Linked DNA regions of Lepisosteus oculatus. The protein of the gene in region 4 purifies or fractionates together with the protein of the main gene of each other region. This does not show direct contact. Links are inferred from orthologs where the notes say so. Each region holds a gene or a part of one and is shown on either strand. Other genes may lie near its edges. The genes, in order: c1d, exosc9, zinc finger C3H1 domain-containing protein and mphosph6.

Evidence for each region.
Region 1: the proteins of mphosph6 (region 4) and c1d purify together in Homo sapiens (co-immunoprecipitation; 3 studies listed by BioGRID and IntAct, counting the BioPlex papers as one, with this or other methods). This does not show direct contact. The link is inferred for Lepisosteus oculatus from reciprocal best matches to the Homo sapiens genes MPHOSPH6 and C1D.
Region 2: the proteins of mphosph6 (region 4) and exosc9 purify together in Homo sapiens (affinity purification with mass spectrometry; 5 studies listed by BioGRID and IntAct, with this or other methods). This does not show direct contact. The link is inferred for Lepisosteus oculatus from reciprocal best matches to the Homo sapiens genes MPHOSPH6 and EXOSC9.
Region 3: the proteins of mphosph6 (region 4) and zinc finger C3H1 domain-containing protein purify together in Homo sapiens (affinity purification with mass spectrometry; 3 studies listed by BioGRID and IntAct, with this or other methods). This does not show direct contact. The link is inferred for Lepisosteus oculatus from reciprocal best matches to the Homo sapiens genes MPHOSPH6 and ZFC3H1.

What each region holds. Positions count from the first base shown.
Region 1 is NC_090712.1:8,566,151-8,573,332, forward strand, and holds the start of c1d (nuclear nucleic acid-binding protein C1D), read left to right. Parts: upstream 1-4,167; 5' UTR 4,168-4,254; coding exon 4,255-4,257; intron 4,258-4,766; coding exon 4,767-4,910; intron 4,911-5,270; coding exon 5,271-5,337; intron 5,338-5,417; coding exon 5,418-5,473; intron 5,474-7,182. Other genes in the region: uncharacterized protein, read right to left, coding at 205-285, 1,218-1,303, 2,021-2,187, 2,552-2,682, 2,972-3,138, 3,233-3,440, 3,734-3,892. UniProt on the Homo sapiens protein: Plays a role in the recruitment of the RNA exosome complex to pre-rRNA to mediate the 3'-5' end processing of the 5.8S rRNA; this function may include MPHOSPH6.
Region 2 is NC_090696.1:10,753,242-10,761,202, reverse strand, and holds the start of exosc9 (exosome complex component RRP45), read left to right. Parts: upstream 1-4,959; 5' UTR 4,960-5,033; coding exon 5,034-5,099; intron 5,100-6,455; coding exon 6,456-6,550; intron 6,551-7,540; coding exon 7,541-7,660; intron 7,661-7,961. UniProt on the Homo sapiens protein: Non-catalytic component of the RNA exosome complex which has 3'->5' exoribonuclease activity and participates in a multitude of cellular RNA processing and degradation events.
Region 3 is NC_090702.1:22,680,165-22,687,112, forward strand, and holds the start of zinc finger C3H1 domain-containing protein, read left to right. Parts: upstream 1-3,945; 5' UTR 3,946-4,112; coding exon 4,113-4,647; intron 4,648-5,727; coding exon 5,728-6,165; intron 6,166-6,533; coding exon 6,534-6,610; intron 6,611-6,948. UniProt on the Homo sapiens protein: Subunit of the trimeric poly(A) tail exosome targeting (PAXT) complex, a complex that directs a subset of long and polyadenylated poly(A) RNAs for exosomal degradation. The RNA exosome is fundamental for the degradation of RNA in eukaryotic nuclei.
Region 4 is NC_090715.1:14,997,279-15,005,207, forward strand, and holds the start of mphosph6 (M-phase phosphoprotein 6), read left to right. Parts: upstream 1-4,914; 5' UTR 4,915-5,062; coding exon 5,063-5,113; intron 5,114-7,795; coding exon 7,796-7,908; intron 7,909-7,929. UniProt on the Homo sapiens protein: RNA-binding protein that associates with the RNA exosome complex. Involved in the 3'-processing of the 7S pre-RNA to the mature 5.8S rRNA and play a role in recruiting the RNA exosome complex to pre-rRNA; this function may include C1D.

The DNA.
Region 1 (7,182 bases), on a different chromosome or scaffold from region 4:
ATACTATTAATTTTAAATTATAATTCTGTTTTTTAAAGCTGTTTTATAACTACTTTAGTACTACTAATATGTTTTATTTAAAAAAAACACTACAGACATGGAATCTTTACTGTTCTTATTAAATTTAAATCAATAAAGAATAAATTATTTACACTTTTTGTAAAATAATTGTGATCTACAGTAAGCATGTGATCTTTTGTTTACCTGCAGAGTATGTTTTGTCTCAATTTGAAGACTATCTGAAGAAGCAGATTGTGCTTTGTACCATTCAGAGTCCGTAACATCCTGAAAATAAAAGGCTTCATGTTAAGTTGTGTATTCAAATAAAAGAATTGAAATTCTTACACAGAATGGAAAGTTAGTCTGAAACATGGGTCCTGTGTACCTAGTCAATTTATGCTACTACTATTTTTTTTCTTTATGAAAATTAGCAGTTTAACTTAAAAAGTATAAAACAGAAACCACAAACATGGTCACATTTCTTACATTTCTTTGGCAGAGATCTGTTATATTAAAGATTGACTTACAAAATATCTATTTCAGTAATCATCTTCTCATAGATAACTATCTACCAGCGCTGATGCCAAACAAGGACATTTCAAAATGTCACAGGAACATTAAACAATATTTTTCAGCATTAGTGAGAGACTGATTTTTTAGAATGTGACCCACAAAAGAGTATCTTAGCAACGCTGGAGCCAACAGCACTTGATCAACAAAGTTGGTAGTAATTGCATTTTAGGTACACTTAACTGACTTGAACCAAAGTTATTCTATTTTTACATACAGTACAGGTAAAGAATTCTTAAAATTGTTTCTAAGCATGAAAGCCCAATGTTTAAATACTAATGTTTTTTTATGCTTACATTAGTAATAGTAACAAAATATTTTAAATATTAAATAAATATTTTACATTTTACAGTTTTTTCACCCTGAAAATATTAAAAATTAACATTTTGTGAATACAAGTTCAGAAAAGGCAGTTCTTACAAGGCAGTTCTTCTTTTGACACTACTACAAAACACAACTTGGCTTTTTACTGGATATAAATATATGTAAAATGAAATTATACAAACCCAATTCCATTTAAAATGATAGATATACTGTACTACAGATATTGATCATTGGGCTTTACATAATAGATAAAAGTTTAAGAAAAAATTGAAAACAGGGACTTTGGCAGAAAAATACTAAGTTCCTCTGAATACGATCCTGACCTTTACATCCAGCTCAGATGGAGGCTTATGTGGGCAGTGTGTTACATGTTCGCCAAGCTCTGATAATTTTAGCACAATCTCACAACCTTAAAATGGAAAAAGACAAAACATTCTTATTTAAATGAAAACTATTAGTCATAAACACTATTTTAGGTAGACAACTTGCACTCTTCATTAACTTTGTCTACTTTAAAGGATTATTCTAATGGTCTAATCAAAATAACCTCCACTCATAATTTAGCCTGCAAAGTTCAGCTGCTGCCATGTTAACTATTAAGCCTTCACCTTTAACACGAAATAGGAAAAATAAGGAACATTTTAAATAAATATCCAGATATGTCTGCGACCTAAGGTTTATTAGCTTCTGCTGTTTGGTAATGGACTTGCTTCAATGAAGCAGTTCTTGCATATTATTTTTAAGCATCTTTGTCTCAGGAAAAACTACAGGAATGCCATTCCTCAATGTCCAATAATCTATTTAAGGTTAAAAAAAAAACTGAACACTGGCTAACATTACCTGGCAAAGTGATAGTTAATACATATTTTTAAAAAATCTAATTACATGGAAGATCCTACTCCGTTGGGCCCCTGAGCAAGGCCCTTAGCCCCAGCTGCTCCAGGGGTGCCGTATAAATGTCAGACCCTGCGCTCTGACCCCCAGCTTCTCTCCCTGTCTGTGTGTCTCATGGAGAGCAAGTTGGGGTATGCGAAAAGACAAATTCCTCATACAAGAAATTGTATATGGCCAATAAAGTGAGCTTATCCTATCTTATTCAGGTATCATTGAGTGTGAGTCTATATACCTCGATAAGCAAAGCAACACTTCACAGAGGCAGCTGACATCCTCCTGTCCACTTCGTACTCCGTCACCTTCCAGCTCTCCCCTAGAGGACTTTCATCTAGTGGGTCCACCTTTGACCGCCGGGTGAGGACATCGATGTATGGAGCTGAAAATGCGTGCTTTGGATCGCTGCAGAAAAGACAGCAAAAGGAAATAAAATAACAGCGCTACAGCGCTACAGCACGCTCTTTATTGAGCCCAACTCTACAGTATTTCTAAATTGTCTGGCTGCTTTTTAATATCTTTGTCATTCAGATTTATACTTGCATGGAGCATTTTCTACTTTCACAAAGGTACATACTACACGTGCAACATCATGGGGTTGATATGCCTTTTTGTTCTATGACTCAAGTATATAAATAACACATGTATGTTATGAAAACTACTTTAAGGTGATATGCACTGTAATGATTCCATCGCAAGTGTCAAGTGCATTAAAAAAGTCAACATCAATACAGCCGGTATTATATCTGTCAAAGTTATATCCTCTCACCTGCCACTAATTGAGACAGGTCTGTAAAATGCTGTTAAGGAGACAGGACACTCATATTCCATCTGGTCTTTCACAGTATTGAAAGTGATAACATACGGAATCTGTTCTCGAGTAATTAGAATTGTGTAAATCTAGAAGAGAAAGACAAGAAACCATATGGTTCTTTAAGTTGTATATTTGGACATTATGCAATGTACATTACTGTATCATGTTGGGGTTTAAGTTGCATATTTGGACATTGTACACAACTGGCTAATTTGACATGCTTCAATTAGCAAGACTGGGATAACATATTCATTTTTACCTCTTGTTGTTTAAGAACTCTTAACCTTGTTACTATTTACAATGCATGTAAACAGTGTCGTTTTCCATGCATACTTTACTTCCCCCTGCTTTGAAAATGTTGCAGTGTGCTCTTACACAGGATCTGGTGCCATCTGCTGAAGAAACTTTGACTTCCAGCAGGCTGTCCCCCACTGTTAGCGGTACAGAGTCAGAGGGATCTGCTTCATTCACAGAAACCTTCATGTTGCTGTCTGGTACTTTGGGCTGGACAGTTAAAGCATTTAGGTTGAAAGGAACAGTACCTAAACGGGTAGATGAAATGGGTATTTAGTAACTCGAAACAGATATTCAAATAGAAATAAATACCTGTTAATACTGTAGCTATATTGTACTCACACGAGTATTCGAAGATGGTGGTAGCAAATGCTGGCTGGAGCTGTAAACCTTCAGGAAATTCGAGGCCACTCAGCTCTGCAGCGCTGGCAGACAGTTTCGTTACCTCAACAGTGTATATTTTAGCTGTTCCGTCCTCAGCGATAACTTCGATGTCAACTTTGTTCACTCCATCTTTCAGTTCAATCACCATGGACCCACTACCACACAGCTGACAAAAATCATGCAAATATGATCGCCGACAGTTCAGTCTATTGTTTTCCCACTGATTAATAATTAATTAATTGTTGATGCAATGCAGTTTCCTTACGAATTTCTGTAAAACCGATACTTATTGCTATTTAAAAATATGTAATACATTTATGTATTGTGTTTTTAAAGCAAAGCTCGACGTTGTGGGTGTAAGTGCATACTTCACATACGACAATATGTAATTTTACAGTACGTTGCATTCCACGGAAAACATCAATATCACTCAAAAATCATTGCACTTATTAGACTTACTATTTTGTATGATGCGCCGCTGTCACTTGTTAGTAGATCCAACGTTATTTTGCTAATGTTGCTGGGAACAATCACTTTATAGCTTGTTAAAAGTGGTGAGAAAGTGGGGTGTAACATTCCCGCAGAAACTGTAAGTTTTTCCAAATCACAGTTATCCATTTTATTTCACTATGACAATCCATACACTAATGTAAAGGTTCTAGTCCTCTTTAACTTTGGTTTTGGATTTCTGTGACGCTGTAACCATAGGAACAGATATAGAATGCGAAATAATTTATTTTTATTGACGTTCGCGCATTGATATTTTATATATACATATCTATATACAACGTTTTCGGTTACATTAATCTTACCCAGTTTGGAGATTTATAGCTAGACTAAATTAAAAATTATTCTGGTTGAGATCAATAGCAAACTACGATTCCAATAATGCATCAGTAATGACACAGTTCCGGAAATTTCACCCGGAAGTTTAATTATTGAGAAACGTGTAGCAGAGGAGGTGAAAAAAGAGGAGAGGTATGGTTAGTAATTTTAATTTTATAGTGTTTTGATGTCATCATTTAGTTTTACATAGCAAAAACTGTTCAGAACCGCGTAAAATATATTGACCATCGGTTAACAATATAATATCACACATTTCATTCCAACAAGAAAAAGTGCTTTTCTGTTTTATTATATCGTTGTCTTTTTGCTACAAATAAACATTCAATTTTAGTTACTATAGTATAAACTTAAGTCAACATCAGGTGTCCTCTTAAGTAAAGGTGTGTTAAGAAGCTAAATCCTTGGATACTTATTTTCTGGGATTCGTTTGTGTAACGATCCTAAAATAAGAAATAGGAATAAATAACAAAATTAGGAAATAATGAAAATAAAATTAAAGCACTAATTTTGTCATGTAAACTATTGTAGATTAGATTTTACTTAAACACCATTTCTAGAGACACCAAACGGCAAGAAGCTGTTTTATAGCAACGCATGGACCGTATGGAGCAGCATATTTTCTACTGAAAACATTTCTGGATTTCAGAATATGGCAGATGAAGATGTTGCAGCAGAGGACTACCCCACAGAGATTGAAGAGTACCTGACAGCCTTTGAGACCTCTGTGAGCTCAGTGAATAACATGATAAAGACAATGATGTCAATACCCAGGAGTGAGCTGCTTCAACAAGTAAGTTAAAAGTAAAAAAACATTTATTAAATATTATAGTTTTCGTACAATAATGTATTAGTCTGATTTGGTTTCTTATAAGTAATTTATAAACTTGGCTTCTGGGTTATAACAAAAAGAATGTAAAGTTAATCCAAATACAGGTAAAAAAATTCTATTAGTCCCACCATATCCAATCATGTAGGCAAATAAGCAGCATATCAAGTGCACTTGCTTTTATTTCTTGTTGTTTTATTCTTGGCTCAAATTCCCTTCTGCTGATACTTAATGTTCATTTTATTGTGCCATTCATTTTCATTTTCCTAATGGCTTCATGCTGTTTCTGTATAAGAAGACTAATGTGTTCTGTTTTTGTCGTAGCTGGACCCCCTTGAGCAAGCAAAACTGGATTTAGTTTCTGCCTATTCCCTGAATTCATTGTTTTGGAGTAAGTCATTTCTGTCTGCCTTTTTATAATGACTGCTGTTTCATTTACAGGTAGTGACCTCATCTCTTTTTCTGTTTCAGTATACTTGGTGACACAAGGAATAAACCCAAAAGAACATGCAGTTAAACAAGAATTGGTAAGTATTTTGTTACGTTTTTTATTTTTTGTTGTTTCATTGTAAATGACGGGAATTTATGGATTTTGATAGTGGTTCAAAGATTGGACTTCACTTGGAAAAATGTCAGTTTGTGTTCTTTTTTTAATATGTTTATTTTTCTCATTTGAGACGACTCATTTACTAATATAAACTAAAAGCTTTTTTGGCACACTGTGATGTGTTGAATAGGGAGATGTGACAGTTTTATGTGCTGTCCTGTGATGTGGTATAGCTTTTGGAAGTCATAGGATACATCTTGAAATGCAGTTGCTCTTGTAAATTCCCAAAGCCTTTGTGCTTCAATTACACAGTATCTGTTACAGAACAGGGCTTGAACTGTGTATGTACTGTATATATGGGTGAGTATCTTTGCCCAGCAATCTTCACAGAATACAGTATAGACTGGAAGGTTCTGTGTGTGGAACCAAAACAGTGGGCATCAAAGTGCAAGAACCTGAGATTTGATCTATTAAACACAAATAATGTACATTAATGTGTAATTTCTAGTAAGTTGGTATAACTTAAAATTACCTAAAGGGTAACTTTTCAGTGATATGCCAGACCTTTTCAAATCCCTTAGCATGACAAATTTGAGAAATGCTCTGCCTTTCTGTTTATATATTTAGCTGAGTTTTGCTTCTGGTGTGTATACATATTTTGTTGTTCATGGTTTACCAGGTAAAATAGCCAATCAGTGTTTATTGTTTTATACAATGAGCAGACTGTAGTGTCTCATGAACACAAATGTCAATTCTCTGGGAAACGTGAGTGTATGTTAAACTGGGACATAGCCAAAAACTACCTAAAAAACGTTTGATTCACTTGTGACCTACTTTTCTTTAATTTGCAATGTCAGAACAATACTTATTCCTCCATATCACATAATTGAGTTAGGAACAAGATATTTAAACTCAGTTAATGCTGTAATGTTTAGATTCTACGATTATCTTGATCTGGGCTTGTAGAACAACATATTAATTTCAGTTTTTTTAATAATTCCCTGCCAACCGATTAAGACCAAATAACACAGTGTCACTGAACACAATATTCCGAGAAATAATTACTGAAGCATGACTTAATCATTAACGAAACTAAATGGAAGAGAAGATATGAAATATGTTTGGTAGTTTTTCTCAAAACTCCTTATATTTACTGTTTACATTTTGAGAGCTTAGTCTGTTCCCTACAGTTGTCTTTTGCAGAGTAAAAAAAACTACATTTGGAAAGTAGAATCAATATAGTCCCCTGAAATAAGCAGCAAAATAAATTCTTATTTTATTTTGTAATATTACAAAATTATATAATTATTTACTGTATCACTGTTGATTTAAGATTCCAAGGTTTTTTTTTCCTCTGAGCTCTGACTTGTGAATCAGTTGGAAAAGAACAAATTGTTCCCACATCAGCTTAATGTTACATTGATCAAATGATCGTACCAGAGGAAAAATGTGTGCCAGTTTACAATCTCCTGACCAGATCAGTCTAAAATTTTAAACGTTGGGGATTTTTACTGGCAGCAGCCATTTGAACCATCTTGAAAGGATCCACGTTGTACATAATTAGACTGTTAACTACTGGGTTTATTATGGTACAGTGTATGAAATACTAATGCTGTTACTGAATTATTGCTGTACTGTTACAGCCCTTAATTTAGATTTAGTGTATATATCAGAGAGCATTCACATGAT
Region 2 (7,961 bases), on a different chromosome or scaffold from region 4:
TAGCAATCAAGGCAACATAGGATGAGATTTTTATTAGAAATTTAATGGGAAAAGTTTTTTTTCTTTCACAATCCTGCATTAAAACAGTACAGGACATCATCATAAGTAAATGTACAAATAAACCAAACCAGACAAGAAAGATGTTTACATGATACAAGTAATGAAAAGCCAAACAGCTAGCATTTTTGTGACTCATTCCAAATATTTATGACTTTTATTAACACAATGTTTACTAAATTAACTGAAAATACAAATGGCATCAAAAATAAATTTGACTTTTTGTTTAGGGTAAACCCTGTACTGTTTTTGCAGACTTTGGAAAATTCTGTTTTCTGTACAATGTTGGCCACCACATTACAAAAAATATATTGCTGCTCTGGAACCAGAGAAAAATAAACAGATATATTTCGGACCTTAAAGGAATGCCCTACACTGACAGGCTAACATTTCCCAATCTTTTAAGTCTTGAATGTGTAACATACATCCTGCATCATCAGTGATGTCTCCTGGTATCATTGGGTGTTTCGGGTCTTTCAACATCAGACACCCTCCCCCCAGGCAACCTAACAGAGGCCGATCAGACCCTGGCCTGCATCCACGTAGCACCCATGGGTTCCTTGTCCTGATCCACAACCATCGTGATGCTTTTTCCATGGCTTCAGTGGCAGCTTAGATAGCCTTCTCCCTCTGACCACCAGTGATGCCCAGGTAGTGGTAGGTCCTATTCAGCGTCTTTGGAGTCTACTTCAATGGGCGTGTATCCTGCCCTCCAGCTCTTTGAGTGGCACTGCTCCACCAGGTCTTTGTATCTCTAGCAAGAATACTACATTGGCAGCCTGATTCGATTCTTCCTAATCCTCAAAGGCTCTGACAGACTCAGTCCTTTGGATTCTTGAACCAACTGGCTGCTAATTACCAAATGGGATAGATGGCCTTATTTTGTAACCTTTCAATTTGTCATTTTGGATTCTTTTACCACTTACCAACAAACCTTGTCTGAAACACAGAAACAATACAAATACCGACAGCCATCTTTGTGCTGAATCCAGTAAATAACCATATGATCATTTCAGTTTTGAGCCATGGTACTCATGAGGACACCACATTGTTGGTAATCATTAATTCATATGCAGCTGCCAGATGAAGCCCGGAAATTACAGCTATAAAACCAATTTCAATAGTTTTTACATGGTGCTATCAATATTTATGGCTCCCTCTGCAGGGATCTCATGACCATTATTACATATTGTTTTCCCCAAGGATTCAACAGCAAGCAAAACCTTTGTTGTGCAACGGAGGGTACTAATTATGAAAGCCCAATATGTGTTGTACTCAATCTGGAAGTCTCCCATGGGTGAATTAAATTATAACAGTGCTCAAGGTCAAGGTCCTCACTGTGCTACTGTTAACAGAAGAGATGACCTTCCTTAACGCCTGTTTGAACACAATCTTTCAAACTGGGGGGAAATGGAGGCAGCTGGAAAAAAGTGCTAGGTCTGTGCCAAGTGAATGTTTGCAGTCTCTTTTTTAATTATTCAAAGCCTTTGGCACACCATTTAAATGACAAGAATCCTGCTCAGAGGAAACCAAAATAAACTCACTGCTCCTTTTTGCATGTAAAAACAAGTTTACCTTCATAGTGCTGCCTGCTTAGCAGTAGATGATATTTCTCTTTTTTCTTCTTAATAAATGTCTCATAAAGATCCAGGTGTATGAAAATGGATTTCCTTCAAAGGCAAGGAATAGTTGGTAAGACCATCCTCACACTGGGATTAAGGTGCTTGTACAGAAGAAGTAATAACTAAACAGTGTATAAACAAACATCCATTCATTTTCTAATCTGTTTATCCAATTCTGGGTCTTCGGAGAGGTGACTCCTATCCCACCAGGCACAGGGCAGGATACACACTGGTGGGACGCTAGTTTATTGCAGGACACACACAGACACACACACTCACACCAGAGTCAATTTTCCCAGAAGCCTATTAACCCAGTGTGTCTTTGGACTACTGAATGGGAGCACTTGGTGGAAGCCCATGCAAACACAGGCAGAACAGACAAACTCCACACAGACAGCACTCTAGGAATTGAACCCAGAGCCCCAGCAATGCTAACCACTGCAGCACTATGCTGGTCTAAACAAACATGTCCTTCAGATCTTTCCACTCCAGAGCTGAGAAAAACATGTACTTTTTTCAAATGCCATTTAAAAACGTAGTTACCCAAAGTCTGATTAAATGCTTCAGATTGCTTTGCTTGCACCTCACACACAGTGACATTTCTGTATTTCCCATCACACATGGCTGAACCTGCCCAGAAGATTTTCTTCTTCCACACTGAAGCAACTCAGTTTTTTCACTTGATAGTGATCATCACTGGCGATTATGGGACACATACACTGTGTGCCAGGCTTTATAATTCCTCTGACCGCGTATATCAATTACTTTAAATTGGATTTTCCTTAAAATTTAAGCCTAAACATTTTTAATTCAGTTAATTTGAAATGATGACTTTCAGTGAGGTAATGTGGCAGCTATCCTAAAATACTTTGAGTTAAATTAACTACCAAAACTCATAAAGACTGCAGTGGCATGATATTCTTTTCTAATCAAGAGATCACTATGTCAGACAGCACACTACAACTCCTACAATAGGACTGTTTTAATATTAGATATATAGAAACAGATAATGTTTTCTATTGATCAAAGTGAAGTATACAATATTTAAAAAACTGGTCAAAACACTGACAATCCAAGACTCTACTCTGTATTTCATTACATTTTGTCTGACTGATAACACTGGTCTGTAAAGCAGGAGGCTACAGCAAACACCAAATAATAACAATAACAGCATTTTCTTATTACTTTGTGCATTCACATGTATGTAACTGTAAAGCTAAACTGTAAAGTTCATTTCTGAACGGATACATCATCCTTTAAAAAATGATTTGTTTTATTATGTGCTCAATCATTTCTTTCACACAAATGTGAGGCTCCATGGCTGAAACATTGTGTCACACCTGAAGAAGGCTCCATGGCCAAAATGTTGTGTTTCTTTTCTTCTTTTTAGCATGGAATAAACCTTTACTTCCTCCTTTACAGCCCACGCATGCTGACACAGGTACTGTCATACTTGAGTTATGGAGGCAGTCAGAATGCTCTCTATAATGGCTCTGTAAAACTGTATTAGAATTAGTTGAGAGATACCCAAGATTTCAGCTGGTGCAAAAAGTACATTCTCTGCTCTGCTTCTTTCTGATACTGGTGATATTCATGTCCCATTTAAGGGTATTTAGAGTTCATAATTCCCAAAAAGTTCACCACAGACACCCACGTCATTGATTACCAGGAATTACCAGGGAGAGAGGCTTTCGAGAATGTTTCTAGAAATCAACCATTTCTACTCTTTTAAGGGTATTAAGCTCTGGGTACTTGCTACAGCACCATGATACCTACTAATCCAGACCTCCTGTACATAGCCTCATCATCATTAGTGATGAGACCTACAAGGGTGATGTCATCTGCAAACTTATTTAGTTTGACAGAAGAGTCGCTGGAAATGCACTTGCTGGTGTACAACAAATAGAGCAATGGGGAAGGCACACGTCCTTGAGGACCCCCTGTATTCACATACCTACACAGCCCTTGCCTTCTATTCAGGGAGAAAGATGAAGATCCACTGGAAAGGGGAACATTCAACTATTGCAATTTATTGTCATTCTGGAATGATAGTAATAAATGCAGAACTAAAAGCCTCAAAAAGAATGCTTGCATACACACCTGAGAGTTCTAGATGATGCAAAATGTAGTGAAGACCCATGGTAGCAGCATCATCACTGACCTGTGGGCCCTAAATGCAAACTGTAGAGGATCAAGATGTGAATCTGTAACAGTTTTGAGACAGCAAAGTATCATGCGTTTGAAAGTCTTCATTATGACAGACGTAAGAGCAACTGGTCTGTAGTCATTTAGACAAGTTATTTTGTCCTTCTTTAGTACAGGAACATAATGGAGGATTTAGAGCAGTTTGATAATTAGTGGAGCAAATCCAAAAACACGTACCTCAGGTTTGGCTGGTTATTTTAAATTTCCAAGTTTCATGAGCTTTTCAGAAAGTTATCGTGTGTCTCGAAGTTTAAGGACACAAAATGCACTAATATAAGGACAACATAATGATTCAGCCCAAAAACATTTTGACAGGTAGACAAAACGGCTGACACACAGAAGACGGATGACAATTGAAATTATTTTCTGCAGCTGTTTTAATGTCCCTTTCAAACATCTCAGGTACTACCTCACGTTAAATTTTATAAAAGCTCTGGGAAAATTGAACTACGCATTTGGTATTAAGTGTACGGACAACTGTATACGATTACAACTTCCTACTTCTGAATTCTAAAATAATAAATAAAAAATCGAACTGCATTTGTGGTTTAAACAGACGCTGTTTTTTTTAAAACGTTTTAATGGTAGTAGATGAAGAATTTAGTATTTAAAATTCCGTGACTGTGTATCATACGGATCACTGCATTGGCAGCGGAAGACTGCTGGCTATTTGACGCCACACTGTGCTTTAAGCAAACAATGACATTCAGTGAAACCAGACTACATTTACGGAGGGAGGTTACATCTCATAGATGTCAGACAAAACTATTTCTATTAAAATAGGTGACTGAATTTATTCGAGGCCCTCCTTGACTTTGTACTAGCGATCTCCCGCAGCTACCTTTTATTAAAGGCACGTTTTTAACGGAAAATGTGCACGCTGAAATGGCAACGTGACGCCAAGAAAGCAGCTGTCAAATAAGTCAAAGTTGAGAACAGTGGCGTAAAATCAAAGATATATAAGGTACAAAGAAATCTATACAGTATTTAATATAGTATAGTGTCTTACAACCGAAACGCATTTCACATTCACGTGACTTCACATTGACGTCGCATCATGTGTGTCGTCATCCGTCTGCGCCTAGTGCATGTCGTGAGGGGAAACAGAGAGTCCATGTGTAGTAGTTACAGGTTCTGCAGAAATTCAGAATGAGGGAAACGCCGCTGTCCAATTGTGAACGACAGTTCCTCCTGACAGCCATAAAAGAGAAAAAGGTATGATTATAATTTAGAGCTTTAGTTAACTTGAACAAATCTGCCAAGAAGAATGGGCAAGATTGTTGTGCATAGTTAAAGACTTAACCAGAGACGTGTGACAGTAATTTCAGCTAAATGTGTTTTTTAGGAAATATTGAGATCAGGGTTTTGAATACTCACGCAATCAACATATTTCATTTTTTTCTCTTAAGTAACTTACCCTTAGGAGTCTTCACTTTGTGCATTCGATTTCTTAAAAAAGTGCATAGTTTTGTGATTTCCCAAAGTGAGACACCCTAGGACGCGTCGAAATACTTTTAAACAAGTAAGCAGACCATTAAAGTCATCGGTTAGCTCTGGAGATTTAGAGCTCAGCGGGAATGAAACCCGGCAGAGGTACAGGGTTGTGACCTATTGATATTGTTGTTAGTTTTCGAAGGTGTTAGTTACTGGGACATTTCTTAGGCCTGCATTAATATTGAGGTGGTAGTGGTTAAATCTCTGGATTCCTGACAGGTTTGCGTGCCGCGGCAGTACTCTTGAACATGACGATTATATCCAGAGTGCACCAGCAGATCCAGCTGTATAAATAGGTCCCAAAATGTGAATGTAAAAAGAGGTAATCTCTTGTAAATCAGCAAAAAATTATATCTGCAAAAAAACTACATAATCTGAAATATTTGTTAATATCTGAAATTATTTTTGTGCATAATTTATTATTTATATAATTTTGCATTTTGTTGCTTATTAAATACATTAGCTCCTGAGTCAATCTTCAGTATGATGTTCAGTTCATTTCTAAGGCTCTTCAGTAAATATGACACATTCATTTGTAGATAGAAACTAATTTAAAAAACCTCGTCATGTCCACTTTGTAACCATACTGTTCCTTCTAGATTCCTAATTGTGAACATTTTAGATTCATTTGGTGATTTTAAATGTTCTGTTAAAAAATACACTTTCATGCTGTTTTTCTTCTTATTGTTACTCTCTTAATATACCTGACATCTGAATATATCTGATAAAACACTGTAAAATCAAGGGGAAAAAAGAACATGCTTATTGTTACAAGTTTAATTGATAAACAATATATATGGAAATAATCTCTTTGTTTACAACACTACCATTCAATATATAAAGATATGAAACTGAGAAAGGCGTACAAGAATAAAATAATATTTGTTGGCTCTGTAAAACAAAATTGAAAATGATTTTTTATTTAGTCCATTATTCTAGTTTTTGAGATAATGTGAGATGTATTTTAACATGAGCCTGTGTTTAGTTCTAACGGTGTGGTATATATGATCTATATAACTCAATAAAGTTTTGGAACTTTGAAATAAATATCACATTTTTTTTTTTTTTTTGTTTCAGCGCCTAGATGGAAGACAAACGTATGATTACAGAAATATCAAGATCACCTTTGGTACACAGTATGGATGTTGCATTGTTGACCTTGGAAAAACAAGGTAAACGTTTGTCTAATCCACAATTAATGAGAGATTAATTAAGAGTTTTAATGAAAGATAAGAAATCTTGTTGAATGCTTAATTCTCAGCAAGTCAAATTAAATGTGATCTCAGGCACATTGGTGTTTAAATTTGAACATTTATGCCTGCATTGCTCCATTCCCTGCTATCTGCACTTTTTTCACCAATTCTGTGTTAATAATTAATACGAATGTATTTCTGACAGTTTGTCTTCTTTTTTAAGGAGAAGAGAGTAAAGTACATGTATTCATAGTTTGATTTGTGTTTGAATGGATTTTGTAAGTATTGTGTAAATGAACCAGAACATCTCTTTATGATGCTGAGTGTGAAAAGTACAGCAGCAGTTCTCAAACTCTCTTGGAAAACTATTCACCTGAATTGTAAGGATAGCACACATTGTAGGATAGCAGCAGACATTTTATTGCTGTTAAAAGGAGCTGTTTCCATACCTTTGCTACTTCAGTAGCAGTTACAAATGTGAAACTTTAAGTCTTTAGGTGGTTTTATAATGAGAGGAATTTGTTTGTTTCACAGGACAAAGTTTAAAGGGTGAAATTTTGGTTATTTCAGCCAAAGGTCTAGTTCTACATTTACTTTTGTCCTGTAGTTGTTTTTTGTTGATATCATTGCTGAAAAATCTATCTCTCACAGATCAGGTATGTACAATGAAAGTGTAATGTCCCACATCAATTTCCCTACGGGATTCATAAAGTATTATCTATCTAATGTTCTTTGGTATATCTTGTTATCTTGTGATTACCTTGTTAATTTAACACAGCACTTAATTGCTTGTGAAAAATACTTTATCACTTACTTTTTGTGAAGCTCTCCTGTCCAACTGTGATTTTTACCTGTAGTAATCCAGTTAGGAATTTACTGAAGAATTTTTGCATCCTTTTGAGTGAAAAGACAAATTCATAATGAAAGACACTGTATATGGCTAATAAAGTGATCTTATCTTATTTTCAGAGTGTTGGCTCAAGTTTCCTGTGAACTTGTCGCTCCGAAAGAAAATCGCCCAACAGAAGGAATTCTCTTTTTCAACCTGGAGCTATCACAGATGGCTTCCCCTGCTTTTGAACCTAGCAGGTATAATTCCCAGCTACTCTTCAAATATAATTTTAATAAGGAATTAAATTCAGACAAATAACAAAGGATGCCAAATTTAAACAAAACAGTGTGGCTTTTTTAAAGAAAAAAGTTAGGAAACCCATGTTATTTTGAAACTCAGTAAAATAGTGAGTGTCACTGTCTTATCTGTGTGCCTTTCATTTTGGATGTACTCTGTTGTTACTGTATGCTGTATATTATTCTTGTCTTAGACCTACAATACTACACATAATTAATCAACACACATCCCACATATCAAACTAGTTAGAGCTGCAATGCA
Region 3 (6,948 bases), on a different chromosome or scaffold from region 4:
CCATAAAATGCACACTAATCAGGAAAGACGTTTTTAACTGAGGTATCTTTTACCCAGGAAACTCAAGTTCCCTAAAAACACAGAATAGCACACTCTAATAAGGTTCAAATACTTAGTCTAAATTGAAAAACCTTGGAGTGATATTCTAATCTGGATTAACATTCGACCCACATCTGTGGCATATTGTCAAAACATCTTTTTTTCACCTCAGAAATATCACTCAACTAGGCCCTATGCTGTCACTAATTGTGGCTGAAAAGCTGATCAACACATTTGTGTTCTCTCTGCTGTAATGCTCTACTCACTGGGGTATCTAAATCTACTTTGAACAAACTGCAGTATGTCCAAAATTCAGCAGCCAGAATCCTGACCAGGTCTAGTGCAAGTGTTCACATTACTCCTGTCCTGGGAGTCCTTGCACTGGCTTCCGGTCAAATTCTGTGTTGACTTTAAAATCCTCATGCTCACTTATAAGGCTCTGCATGGCTTGGCACCTCAATAATTGTCTGAACTATTATCGCCCTACTCCCCACCTCGCAACTTTCGCTCTTCAAATTCTGGTCTCCTTTCTGTCCCCCAAGCCCGTCTACATTGTATGGGTGACAGGGCCCAAGCTCTGGAACTCTCTGCCTAAGGATATCCGAGAGTCACCTTCTCTAAACTCATTATAATCCAGACTTAAAACCTTCTTCTTTAGAAAAGCCTTTACTTAACTGTTCCATTCTTCTGCTTTTCTTAGTACTACCATCCTCAGTCTCTTCTGTATATTGTAATTGTTTTCTTTATTGTATTTTTTTCATTTATTGTTGTTGACATTCTGTAAAGTGCTTTGAGAAGCCACCTTTAAAGGTGCTATATAAAATAAAGTTTATTATTCTTATAACTTCCCTAGGTATACTAAGGTAAACTTTACCATTGTTTCTGCCCAAGGGACCTCCCCCAGACATCAGCAAACATCCTCTTTGCTTTATAATTAGAAGTATTTTCTCTTCTCAGTGTCACAAACGTTATCTAAAATCTAAGAGACACTTCTAAGTCACCTAGCTGGAACATTAAGGTATTCATTTGCACCGAACAATGTACAAATGACAAACAATGTACAAACAATGGTTTTGAATAGTTATGCAGTCACAACTTTTCCATTTGTCTTTCATATTAATTATTGACTTCTTTCTTTTTGTGACTGATGTGTAGAGGTATATATAACAAATGACTGTAAGCCACAAAGCAGCAAAATGTCAAAACTATGCAAGTGTCTGAATACTCTTGCATGGCACTGTAAATTCAAATTCATTCTTTCAAATCCATCATCATTAAATTCCCTATATTGCTCTTGCTGGGTTTCACAGAACATAAAAAAGATTGAAAAATAAGAGGACAGACAGCCTATTTACAGTATATTTTTTATTCTACCAAATACATTGTTGGAGAATCTCATATATCCATTTCTTGAAAAAAGCAGAAGCAAGATAACAGTTTTGACAACAAGCAGCCTTGCTCAAGGCTTTCAAAGCATTATTACCAGTGAAAGTAATGGTGACTGCTTCTCATAAACTGGGACTAGTAAGCTTGACAAGAGTATTGGGAACATAGAAAGGCAATGTGCAGGCAACATTTAGTGGTTTAGAATTATTTAGAATCTTTGGAAAGACTTGAAAACGTCTGTACAGAAGCAATACCCAAGAAAGCTGAGAGACCTTTAGCAAATCTGCCAAGAAGAGTGGGCATAAATTCCATGAAGCTGGTGTACAAAGGTACACAAAGGTACTGTACACAGACTTACTCAAAATGACATAACATAACATGAGGTGACATAACATAACATGGAGGTGGTGGCTGAGAGGAGAATGCTGACCAAGCTCATAGCCATCATGAACACCTCTCATCCGCTTCATAGGACTGTTACTGGGCAGGGGAGTACATTTAGCAATAGACTGCTCCAGCTACGGTGTTCAAGGGAACATTTCCGCAGGTCTTTCCTCCTGGCGGCTGTCAGGGTGTATAACGCTGCCCTAGGCTAGGACTGTTAGCCCTTCATTTGCTCCTCTATGGACAGCATGTTTACTCCATTGTACTTTTTGGACAATCAGTCTGTATAAACCTATGCACATTTTGCACATATTTTATTGTTTTTACAATGACTATGATCAGCACATTTTGCACACACCTATGTATTTATTTATTTTTATTTATCTTGTTTGTCTTTTGTTTTATAACTATTCTGATGTCTGTTTTGCTTGTCTTGGGCTGGACTGCTGTAACACATCAATTTCCCTACGGGATTAATAAAGTATTATCTATCTATCTATAACAACAACATCACGTTATTAGCCCTATACAATTTCTTGCATTAGGAATTCATCTTTTCACATACCCCAGCTTGCTTTCCATGAGAGGCAGACAGGAAGAGAGAAGTTTGGGCTCAGAGCACAGGGTCAGCCATTGTACAGCAACCCTGGAGCAGTTGGGGTTAAGGGCCTTGCTCAGGGGCCCAATGGAGTAGGATTTCCCCACCAGCTGTGGGATTTGAACCAGCAACCTTCCAGCCACAGGCGCAGATCCTTAGCCACAGATCAAACTGATTAAACATGAAACTGTATTTGTTGCCAACGGTGCTTCCAACAGATACTGAGTTCACAGGTCCGAATACTTATGCAGTCAACATATTTCAGTTTTCTTTTCTCTTTAGTGTTTGCTGACATTTATTGTGTTGTATCCTACCCTTAGAGATATTCAGTCTGAGGCTTCAGGTCTTAAATGACATATTAGGTTTAAAAAAAATGTGTATTGTTTTGCGATTTTAGAAAAAGGACACCATAGGATGGGTCTGAATACATTCGGAAGGTACTGTAACGTATAATGTTCAGGAACATGATACATTTCCCCCAAGCCCATCTATGATGGCGTTTTTAAAGAACATGCTTCATGTTAATAATTTTCAAAATACCTGTCTCATAAACTGTTTTTAGTGTGAATTTATCTAAAGATCTGGAGGATATTTTTCTTAATACTTTTGTATTATGCCCCACAAAGGGGGCAATTCATGTGATAGTTACAGAGCACCTAAAGTAAATCCATGCTGACCCAAAGATAAAATGCACATTCCACGCAGAATTCACCCCATCCAGAATTGAACCAAGGACCTAAGAACTATGAAACTATAGCAACCACCCACACTGGAATGGAACTGAATTAAATATATAACATTTCCATTCTAATATTATTTTTCTGCCATAGTATTTTGTGTTATAATGTAATTCTTTTTTAAAATTCTTGGAAATCTCTAAATGATTTAAATAATTACATGTTTACTAATTTCATCGTTAGTAAACGACACGCAAAGAAGTAAATAATTGGAAAAATAAAAGCATCTACACCTCTAAGATTCATTAAGTGTAAATAACTTTGAACAATACGGTCAAACGTCGCTGCGCGGATTTGCACTGTATATTTTACTAAAAATGTCGACTTTCGCAGTGTCCCGTTATATTCTTCAGGGTAAATTTTTGGGACAGTAAATGAGCTCTCAACTCATTCAAGTCAGGTCTTTCAGGTTATTTAGGAATGCTCAAATATTTTACTTCATGTGGTTAAATGAGCAGCTTCTCCTATACCCGGGAAAATTTAACATGCAAGATTTATGGAAACAAGAATCCATAAGGTTAAAATGTAATCACGGAAAACAGTTAACATTGCATCAATGCTACACATGACGTTCGGGAATTTACAATTGCTTCGTGTACACGAACGAATTTAAGGCATCAGTTCAGCACTTTTATTGAGGAACACGAAAAACCAAAAATACCAAAGTAAGGTTACATGCCACAAGTAAATCGCAACTTTCTGCGTCTGTCATTGCATGCTGGAAACACACAGCCTATCAACATGCAAACGTCTAACACGCTGGCAGACGCAGCTTCTCCTACGACATTTGCGCACACTCGGTTTTCCTTGCGAGTCTCGCGATAGAAGAGAGCGACGTGAGGCCGGATCTCGGACCAGGAAAGAAGATAGGGACTGCTGGGGAATTGCACGTCTGTAATTGCTGATTTCACAACCTGGCCCAGGAGCATTCCTGCCTTCCAGAGCAGTTACATCAGTAGGGAATAGCGATGGAACTGAGCTCGAGCGTTCGGTCTCCGAGGGAAGAAGGCGAGCTGGAGGACGGGGAGATCAGCGACGATGACACCGATGAAAGGCAATTCGTGCGCCGTGACAAGAGGCCTAGCAGCAGCTGTAACAGCAGCGCAGGGCGTTTCGCTCGGAAGCCCAAACCCGGACCGCGGACATTACCGCCGCCTCCCATGGGGGGACCCGGCCTCGACTTCCGAATGAAAATGCCGTTCAACCGGGGACCCCATCCTCATCCCCCCAACTTAACTGGCCACAGGCAGCAAAGTGGAGCAGGCGTCCCCGACCGATCGCTGTCAGCCCAGCATTGCGACTCGGGTCCCAGATCGTCTTTCTGGGAGCGCAGCCACACCGCGCTGGGCAGGCTGAGGTACCGGAGGCCAAACGATGGCCGCGGAGACTGGGGCAGAGGGGGTTGGGGTGAGGGGGTTGGGGGCAGAGGGACTGGAAGGCCGCCCCCATGTCGACTTGGATTCGCCGGGGCACCTATCAGGAAGGAGTCCCCTCCAAGAAAGCGTATCCTTGCCCGTCCTTCGTTGCCACTGTACGAGTCCGACTTCAAAACCCGTTGATTTTTATACTTTCCTGGACAGTGAATCGTACAGCGTGTTACAATTCGTATCGCACATGTTGAAGCGATGACCGGCTTCTGTAGATTCGCTGCCCACACTCGAAATGTTAATGTGACCATTTTGGGTAACTGTGGCTATAAATATTCCTTTTCCTAAGACGAATAAGAGCTGTGTCCCGGTCGTGTTTCTAGGCGTTACCCCGACCACATTTGCAAAAATGTATCTTTTGTTCTTATTATACATACGGTATATGTTAGCTCTGCTACAAGGCTTTAAACAGACAGCTCAAGAACAATCGTCGAGACCGGAGGTCGACGTCAGCACCTAACAGGCGCAGAATCCTCTTTCGTTTGTACAGTTGACTTCCGCTGTTGGCACAGTCAGACGACTTCAGGAATAACGCAACCCCCTTGAGTTGTACGGTATAGGATAGCGGACACACAAACCCAAACTAGTGCGAGGAAGAATATTTGGTTGAGGTTTTTTTGAAAAGCACATTACGTTTGTACCCATGCACGTAGCTGGGCATTTTCCTGGAGCAAATTGGTCCAATTCCTCACTGCTCATGTGTTCAACAGACGTTCTTTCATCTTTCTGTAAAGAAAAGTAAAGCAATCACAGATGAATGGTTCATAATCAAAACACTAACAGTTGACACCTTTAAGCAAAGACTATTATTTGTGAACACCTTTTCTTCTTGTGGATTAACTGTCCACTTATAAGAACAAAGATGTCATTTGGCCCATCAAGCTGGTAGTTATTAATTGATTAATTTCATCCCATTGTTTTCTCTAAACCAAGGTTATCGGCTTCAATAACATGCCAGGGTAGCTTGTTCCATGTTCCCATAACTGTAAAACAAGTTTTAAATGCATGTTGTTTCCACTTGTGCTCACTCAATTTTAAATAATACAAATGGTTAGTTAGTAATACATTTGCTATGTAAAACTGTTATATAATGCAAACCTAGCATGTTTTTGATTCGGTTTTACAGATATTTATCTTCCTTCACTTCTTTACTCAGCAAAATTGTTTGGGAGACCTCAGGTGAGGAAACCCATTCATAACACTGCCAAAACCGAAAATGGTATTGAAGAAAGCTTTGAGGATTTGCTTTTGAAATATAAGCAAATTCAACATGAGCTGGAATGTATTAGGAAGGAGGAGAGGATGGCGCTGAGCTCCAAAGATCCTTCGCCTCAGAAAGAGGTAGAAGGAGCCCCCAGTGTTGATCAGGCTGTTTCAGGCACGGTCAGTATTCAGAAGGAAGCTGCTATAAAAGAGTCTCCACCTCCGGAGAAGCCCGAAATCAAAGTTTTTCAGGCTTTTAACCTGAAACCTTTAAGGCAGAAGCTTCTGACCCCTATGGAAAGAGATGAGATGAACAAGAAAAACACGAAGGAAGCAGAAAAGTCAGAGAACGCTGAAATAAGCCCCCTTGAGCCCAGTGACACAATAAAAGGTAAAGAAAATTCCACCTTAACATAATTGTACATCACATTCACCATTTTATTTGACCTCGCTAAAATATAAACACCATAGGGCTTTTCCCACTTACTAGAGATGTGTGTGTGATATGCCACTTTTCTCATTTCCTTTTTTATTTCTACTACATTACTCTAATGGTTCTCTTTGTAATGCCTTTTCATCCTTACAGATGTTAATAATTACCCTAATAAGTCAGTCTTTTGCTACAATTCCGTTTAATTTGTGGATTGCCTCTGTCTTGAACTTGTAATGTCTGCCTTGAAAGTGTGCGGATTAGTCATTTGTTTTTACTTTGACCAAGTCCAATGGGAGAAGTGTTAAGCTTGTTTCTCTTTCTTAAAGATAAGGAAGATGAGGAGGAATTGGATTTAAACAATTCTTATCAAAGCAGCAAAGAATCAGATGACCTGCCTTATACTGTAAGTAACACAGAATGACATTCACAACGATGTCCGACTCGGTTTAGTCTTAGCAGGCATTTCTCCCACAGATGTTTTGCGTACACCACAAAGCTGTATTAATCATACAGCATTTGAGTGTCTTGGACAAGATTTTCCTGCATTGTTCTTCATGATGTGATGAAATCATCGCCAAGATTGATTTGAAGACAGGTTTTTTCAGATTACACCTTGTATTAATTAATTCAAAAACATTTCCAATAGGACTCAGTAAATGACTGAATTAATTACTGCACCAGTGGAGAAACGTTCTAAGATTTACTCGCATTATGTAGTAAATGGCAGTGTGGCTGTTAGTA
Region 4 (7,929 bases):
AGTATTTTGAATTCTCAGCTCCACAGGCAATCGGTGCAATTAACCGAAAACAGGCAATAAATGCATTTTAGTTTTCCTTTAAAAACCGCACAGCTACATCCTGCAACTTAACTTAACAAACCACCAGTAAGAAACACATGGCAATAACCAAGCCAGCAAAAGACAACAGCATTCATTCGCTTTCTTGCATCAGACCTGGAGGAGAGACATCTCTCACCAAGAGCCCTACATGCCTAGGAGCAAATGGGAGGGTGCAGGGGTCTCTCTGTCACTGACAGGCTCAAACCCACCACCAGACAAGTCCATCTGCATGCGGGAAAACACCTCTTCCAGTTGAGCTACTCGGTAAACAGCCAAGGGCTGTCACATTGGCAAAGATACTAAGGAGATACAACTGACAAAACTTCAGTCTGGCTAGAGTTTAGAAGTAAAAGTGCATCTATTTTTCACATGATCTAAGCCATAGGACAAAACAGACTGTGCTTGATTAATGTCGGGTTTCATCAGCATAGAAATAACAGCTGCTGCCACATCTACGGTGAATCTGACCCAGTGGAGGTTCATTCAAGTGTGACACTAGCAAGTAATGTAACAAGACATATTTTACAAATGTCTGACACATAAACAATTAAGCTTTCTATTCAGTAACTCAATGTTGCACTTAACTCTGATCACAGGACTCTAAATTAAACTCTAAAAAACACTCATAAAACAGCTTTTAGCTCCTAAGGGCATGGTATGACAGTAATATTAAAATGTAAGACATAAATCATAATTTCTTCTTGCATGCTGTCAACAATTTTTATGGAGAACCCAAGTGTCTCACCAAGCGAAGGCACTTGCTCCACTTAATGGCTAATGTCTGTATTGCATGCATCCCAAGTTCAAGCCTGAGTCATGCTGTATCACCAGCAGGAGGTGGGACACATCCGGCAAGGGGCAGGTTGTTCTGGGATCTGTACACTGGCGGCACATTGGTTAGAATTTGTGCCTCGAAGCGCTGGGGCTTTGTGTTCAGTTTCAGACCTGAGGTGCCGTCTGTACAGTTTGTTCTCCCTGTGTTTAATAATAATAATAATAAGAAGAAGAAGAAGAAGAATAATAAACTTTATTTTATATAGCGCCTTTAAAGGTTGCTTCTCAAAGCGCTTTACAGGATGACAATAACAATAAATAAAAAGACTACAACAATAAATAAGAAGATTTCACAAGATAGGACACAATTATAATTACAACAATACAACAATAACAATAGAGGAGGCTGTGGAAGGTGGTATTAAGAGCAGAGGGGTGAAGAATGGAACCAGTTAAGTAAAGGCTTTCCTGAAGAAGAAGGTTTTAAGTCTGGATTTGAAGGAGTTTAGAGAAGGTGACTCTCTGATATCCTTGGGCAAAGAGTTCCAGAGCTTGGGGGCATAGCAGGAGAAGGCCCTGTCACCCATACAATGTAGACGGGCTTGGGGGACAGTAAGGAGGGCAGAATTTGAAGAGCGGAGGTTGCGAGGTGGGGAGTAGGGCGATAAAAGTTCAGACAGGTATTGAGGTGCCAAGCCATGTAAAGCCTTATAGGTGAGCATGAGGATTTTAAAGTCTATGCGGAATTTGACCGGAAGCCAGTGCAAGGACTCCAGGAAAGGAGTAATGTGAACACTTGCACTAGACCTGGTCAGGATTCTGGCTGCTGAATTTTGGACATACTGCAGCTTGTTCAGAGTAGATTTAGATACAGCTCCAGCTCTCCCGCAACTCTGAACTAGAAGAAGCGGTTAGAAAATGGACGGATCTCTCAACTTTCCAGCAAACAGCGGCGACTTAGTCTCCCCACGAGCCTTATTCATTGTAATGCACAGCCCACGAGCCACTGTGTGGAAATAAAATTAGCCGTTTTTAATCAGTTGGGTTAAAAAAAGTAACTGATCCCAAAATAACTGATTCGAAATTATGTCCAGCCCTGACATCCACTGAGTGAAACACCAATTAAAGCATATTTTCCTAGTTATCACATCAAGTATCCCATTCCTCATCTTTCATTCATATTTGCCTACAGACTCAGTACAAACGATACACAATTTTGCATAAACTGCACAAGAGGTGGCGTCGATTGAGTTCTCACTAGCAATTGATATTTACATAATGCAAAACACTTTTATGTCTATGGTTTCTCGTGATATTTCTTCTCAAATGACTATTAATTGACATTTGCAATAAAGAAATACTCAAACTGCACTATGCGGTATTTAAAGTGATTTTCACACTGGCCCTAAGGCCGTTTCTGCTTACTTTTACTTTTTTCTCCTGTTTGATCAACAGTAATGAAAGACAAGTGGGCAGTGGAGCACAATGATATTTGTTCCTAATAATCAGTTTTATTCTGCTGTATAGCAACACCCCGGTAATCACTTGCACCAGTGGCAGAAGTTTAGCCATTAAACACGCAGTTCGTGTAGCTGAATACCCAATTCATCATCACCGGACAACCACATTTCTACGTGGGCACCGATATTTTTAAAATTAGGAAATAACAGTCGCTTCACGTGTGAAGAAAAAAACGTGTTAAACTGTGTTTTTCCTCTTTAAAGAAGTACAAGAAGTAATTAAAAGCGAAACAGTCTTTTCGATGTTTCAGGTTAAATTCAGTTTAGTCATTTTTCAAGAAAAAAACGCGTGACAATGCAGTGTCTGAACAGCAGCTCCTTTATTAACAAAGTGTGAGCTACGCCGTTTTCTTCGTTTTTGCTTGTGTTTACTTCGTGGCATCATAATCTAGCTGAAAAACTGTTTTAAAAAATCCATCAAAACCACAAAACACTGAACAACATCATGCGAAAAGAGAAATGGTCTGTTTTGTCAAACACGATTTCCTGCTCGGCGTGTACTAAACTCAGATCTCTGAAGTGCATGCCGCCGAAGTTTATTCATCTTCGCTGCTATGACAGGTAAGAAAATTAGAACTAGTCAAAAACAAATTTCATTGTAAGTGGTTCTGCTTCGCGGGCTTTCGGAAAATAACGCACGCACACCTGATTGTATCAAGAACAGCAAAGTTCTGCTCAATCACAGGGATTGCCGGGCAAGCGCAGGAATTCATAAAACACACACCAAACAGGGGAGCATATTAAATTTGTTCCCGGAGCATAACATGAATAAACCATTTGCTATGTATATCCTCTCATGCGTAGCTGCTGCTCTCAATAAAATACAAGCTGCGCTTGTGTTCTGCGGAGAAAAGCTCAAATGGTCTCACAGGTGTTCTTGAAGGAATTTAAAAGTCATACAGTTAATTTAACCTTTGAGAGAAAACAAAAATATTGTATCCACGGGCTATAGGAACATCGCTAATATAGACAGACCAACCAGACTCAGACTCAGATGCTCGCAAAAGGAAACGAATATACACAACTTTTTGTGCTATTCTGAAATGATCCTCATGACACAGTATGAAGTGTGGAGGGACTAATCTACGCTAATAAAGGATATGTAGAAAGTGATGTTAAAATTAATATTATATTCGGAATATTTAATGAAAATACATGCATTGCCCTATAAGTATTGGTGAGTTATAGTCTTCTCCCCAAGGAAAAGGGTGTCAATGTTTCAAGTGTTGAGCGTTATTCAATAACCATTTACCTGGAAACCAGGCAAACCATTCCACCGGGTTAAAAATCCAATTTCAACTCACCCCCACAAGACTCTTCTACGATGTTTCCTAGAGTTGACTGTAAAAGAAGACGGTATTTCAAGCAGTAGACCAACGCTTAGTCGTTCTCGATCTTCAATCGCTTTAGTTTGGCGAGAGTTCAGCGCTCGCAGTCCCGCCGGCCCAACGTGAAACTGCACCTGAAAAAAAAAAATCGCTCCTGGTTTGGAATGACTTAATCTCTCGATTTTTCTTGCTCGATCTTCTGTCAGAAACGGTTCAGTCCTGGTAAGGAGAGCGCACCCCAGCGATCCCTACGTGGCAGAAACAAGGCGCAAAGTGAGGGTACCCCCTGGACAGATGTACACACTCGCGTGTCTCTGGCGAGGAAACTCTGGCCAAGTAGGAAAGCCAGCTGCCATATCACCCTGCAACTCCCCACTGGAGCACAGCAGGTGAGGGCCTGGTCAGTACCTGGATGGGAGACCTGGGAAAACTAAGGTTGTTTCTGGAAGAGGTGTTAGTGGGGCCAGCAGGGGGCGCTCACCCTGCAGTCTTTGTGGGTCCTAATACCCAGGATAGTGATGGGGGCACTGTGCTGTAAAAAGGCGTAAAACCGAGGTCCTGACTCTCGGTGGTCATTAAAAATCCCAGGGCGTTTCTCGTCCTGGCTACATGTCCCTCTGGCCTTTAACAGTCATGGCCTCCTAATAATCCCCATCTCTAAACTGGCTCCATCACTCTGCTCTCCTCCCACCGAGACCTGGTGTGTGGGGAGTGTACTGGTGCACTATGGCTCCCATTGCATCATCCAGGTGGGGGCTGCACACTGGTGGGGGTGGAGGAGGAGAGTCCCCGTTACCTATAAATCGCTTTGAGTGGAGTGTCTAAAAAACGCTTTATAATTGTAAGGAAGTATTATCATCGGGGAAGAACATGTAAACTCCACACAGAAGGAGCCCCAGCCCGGACTCAAATCCGAATGCACAGCATCAGTTCTTAACCGTGATTATATAGATCCATTTACGTGTATAATAAATATATACATTTATCATGTGATATTTATAAAACTGGTCTAAACCGGGCACTCGGATTAGATTTCGCCCATCTTGATGCGACCCTGTTTTGTAATAGGCGACAATTGCAAATGTATGGTTCAACACTTTGTCTATGGTCCGCAACAGCGGCGGAGTGGAGACACGTGTAACTGTGTGTTCCGTAGAGGTAACTCTGAATCGGTGATCCATTGGCCTGGGCTTGGGGGGGGGACTGCATCGGCAGATGGATTGATACTGTCTCGCTCGGTGTACTGCAGCGTGTTCCTCTCCGCCGTCTGGAGGTTTAGCATTAGTCTGAGTAACGTAGGGTTGATATTTTTAGAAACATTAGATTTTTTTTTTTACTTTGCCGAACTCGGTGGTTGAAATGGCAAGCGATGGTACCGCGAAGCTGTCCAAGAACCTCTTACGAATGAAGGTAATGTGTTGTAGTGTGGCGTCTCAGGACTCCTAATCGATTTGGTATCGGGCCTTTTTTTCCCCCGTGTGTTAAATGTTGAAAATTGCATGCTCCTTTCCCAAGAGATTCTTGTGTATAAACTGTAAAATCATGCACGAGTTTATAGTAAGATATTAAGGACGTGTGTGTCATGAAAACCTGGATACTTATTAAGAGTACTCCATTAATATCCGACAAAGTGAGTGCTTTTGAAACACGTTGAGAGGGCTATGAACGTAACTTTTAGCCCATGCGTTTGATAAAAGTGCACTCGATTTTCATAATGTAGTAGTTTATAACCAGAAGTACAACAGTCAAGTAGATTTCTTTCATTTGTTTAAGTATCTGCTATTATCAGTAATGTAAATATCCTGTCTGTCTCTGTATTTAATCCGTGTGTGACGGTCCCATTATGAAGCCTGTTATAGATCAGTAGAATGTCCTGCATTCCTCGGGTTTCATTTCCTAATCTGCCTAGAGAATCCACGGAAATGTTAACTACTGCCGCTAAGGAGTTTTTTTTTTTTCCTCTTTTATAAGTTGCTTCTTTTTGGTGACATTTGCAAATGTACATATCGGGGTATGTCAGAAGACCTCGGGTGTTCCTCTGCTGCTGATCCTAGTGGAGAGGCTGAACCCACAGCAGCTTGGCGAGTTTCTCTGCCAGCTACTGTGCGCGACTGCAAAAATGTACTGTAACCAGTTTTCTCAGTTCATCGAATACCCTGATGTGCAAAAGGAACAGAAAAGACCGATAAAAAGATGTAATACTGTTATACGCTGTGAAAGAAACTGTATTATCTTCTGTTTCATAGTAGTATAATGTATCTCTACGCACAGCATGACAATTCTGCCTCCGTGAGAAAGCACGGAGATGAAGGAGCGGTTCTTAGACGCACAGTGAGCTCCTTTTTAACCAAAGGGCTGTGGGAGTGTGCAGCTACACAGCTAAGCTGACGAGGCTGATACCCTGGCTTCTGTCAGGAATGAGCTGGATGAGAGCCTACGATCAATTGAGTACCGAGCTGGACACATGGGGCCTGATGGCCTCCTCTCATCCGTTACTGTTCTTAGTTATACATAGCGTGGAGTACAACATATCAAAAAGGGTGAGCTTATATATTTTAAAGAGATAATGTGAAAGTTTTCAAATGACTTCATTTTGAAGCTTTCTGTAGAAGGAAGATCAAATAACCCACCAGGTTTACAGATAATCGCACTGAAAGCCAGTGGCTTGATTTTTTGTCGTCTCTGTTCAGTCCTTGGAACATTTGTCCTTGAGCAGTCTAAGAACTCTGTGTTCCTGTCTCTCCTGCCTGTTTTCTTTTTTTTTTCCGTTCTGCACTGAATTTGTCATCACGGTGGGGCCCTGTAAATAGGGGGGGGGATAAAGCCCTTTCAAAAATTTTCCCGACACGCCGCTTCTCAAGAATTGTCTCGGGGCCTCGTGCATCATTCGGTCCGCTCGCTGCACCTCATTAACGCGCGAGAGATCTGGCACGGCGCTTCTTTTCGTTTGGGAGAGCCGAGCTGTGCAGGTTGTCCCGGGTTTGAATTACTTTAAGTATTCCTGTGAAATGGTAGAGTGCCCAGTAATTGCCTCCTGCTGTGTATCCCAAGCCTAAGAGAAGCTTGAGATGTTAAGACTGCTGGAGACATGTGAAGAATATTGGGGTTGTCAGGGAAGAGCACGCTTCGCAGATCCTGCCGTTAATCACCAAAGCACATGAAAGACAAAAGTATCAACAGCTCAATATGGTCTGCCAGTTTTCAAGATAGTGGGTTTACAGGTGCAGGTTTCTTTTTTTTCCCCCTCTTTTCTGGTGATCGTGTTTGCTGAGCTCGCAGATCTCCCTGGTATTTTCCCAATGAGTTCTGCTTTTGTGTCCTCTCCTCCCACACTTGGAGGGTTTATCCGACTCATTTCTCAGACATCGGCCGTTTCTGTCCAGAAATCAACATTGTGAAGAGCTTTAGATGCGGCGTGTTTTAAACACGACTCGGGGCTCAAAGCACACGATGCGCAATGTGCTGCTTCAGTAAAGAGATGTGGACAAAAATGTTTTCTTTTTCTGATAAAGAAAAAAATCTTGGCCTTTGCTAGGTTCTTGGCTTTGTGGGAAAACACAATCACACAGGGAGGGAACTCTCTGGCTCACTTTTATTAAATAGTATGTCTGGCCTTAACCCCTGGAGCTCAGCCTCTTGAGTGATGGCAGTTCAGCTGTGCGAACAGGGCAGGATTACAGCTGGTCAATATAGGATCCTGCAGATCTGTGCTGTGCTTTTTCTATAGTCCTCACTACCCCATGCTCACTCGAGCAGCAGGACTTTGTGCAATATGACTACTTAACTGGGAGAAGGAAGTTCATGTTTAGTGCCAACCATTTAATATTCAGTATTTACCGGTTTTTGTGTGTGACATTCCCTGACCACCCTCTTCAGCCTACTCAATGATGAATTGTTCTTTTTATACCACATGTGTGTTCTCTTCGGCCTACAAGTATTCCCAAGCCTCTCATGGGTTGTTGCCAGCAGAACATTCAGCTGAACAGCTGGGTATGAGCTGGTTTCCCAGCCCCTGTCTTGTGACTCTGTGAGCAATGGCAGGCCTGGAGCTGTGGTTTGTTTGACTGAAGCACGATGCTCGTCTTTCCCCAGTTCATGCAACGCGGCCTGGACGCAGAAGTCAAGAAGCAGCTGGAGGAGGAAGAAAAGAGGATAATCAGCGATGAACACTGGTACCTCGATTTGCCAGAGCTCAAGGCCAAGGAGTAAGTCCAGCTTTTCACCCG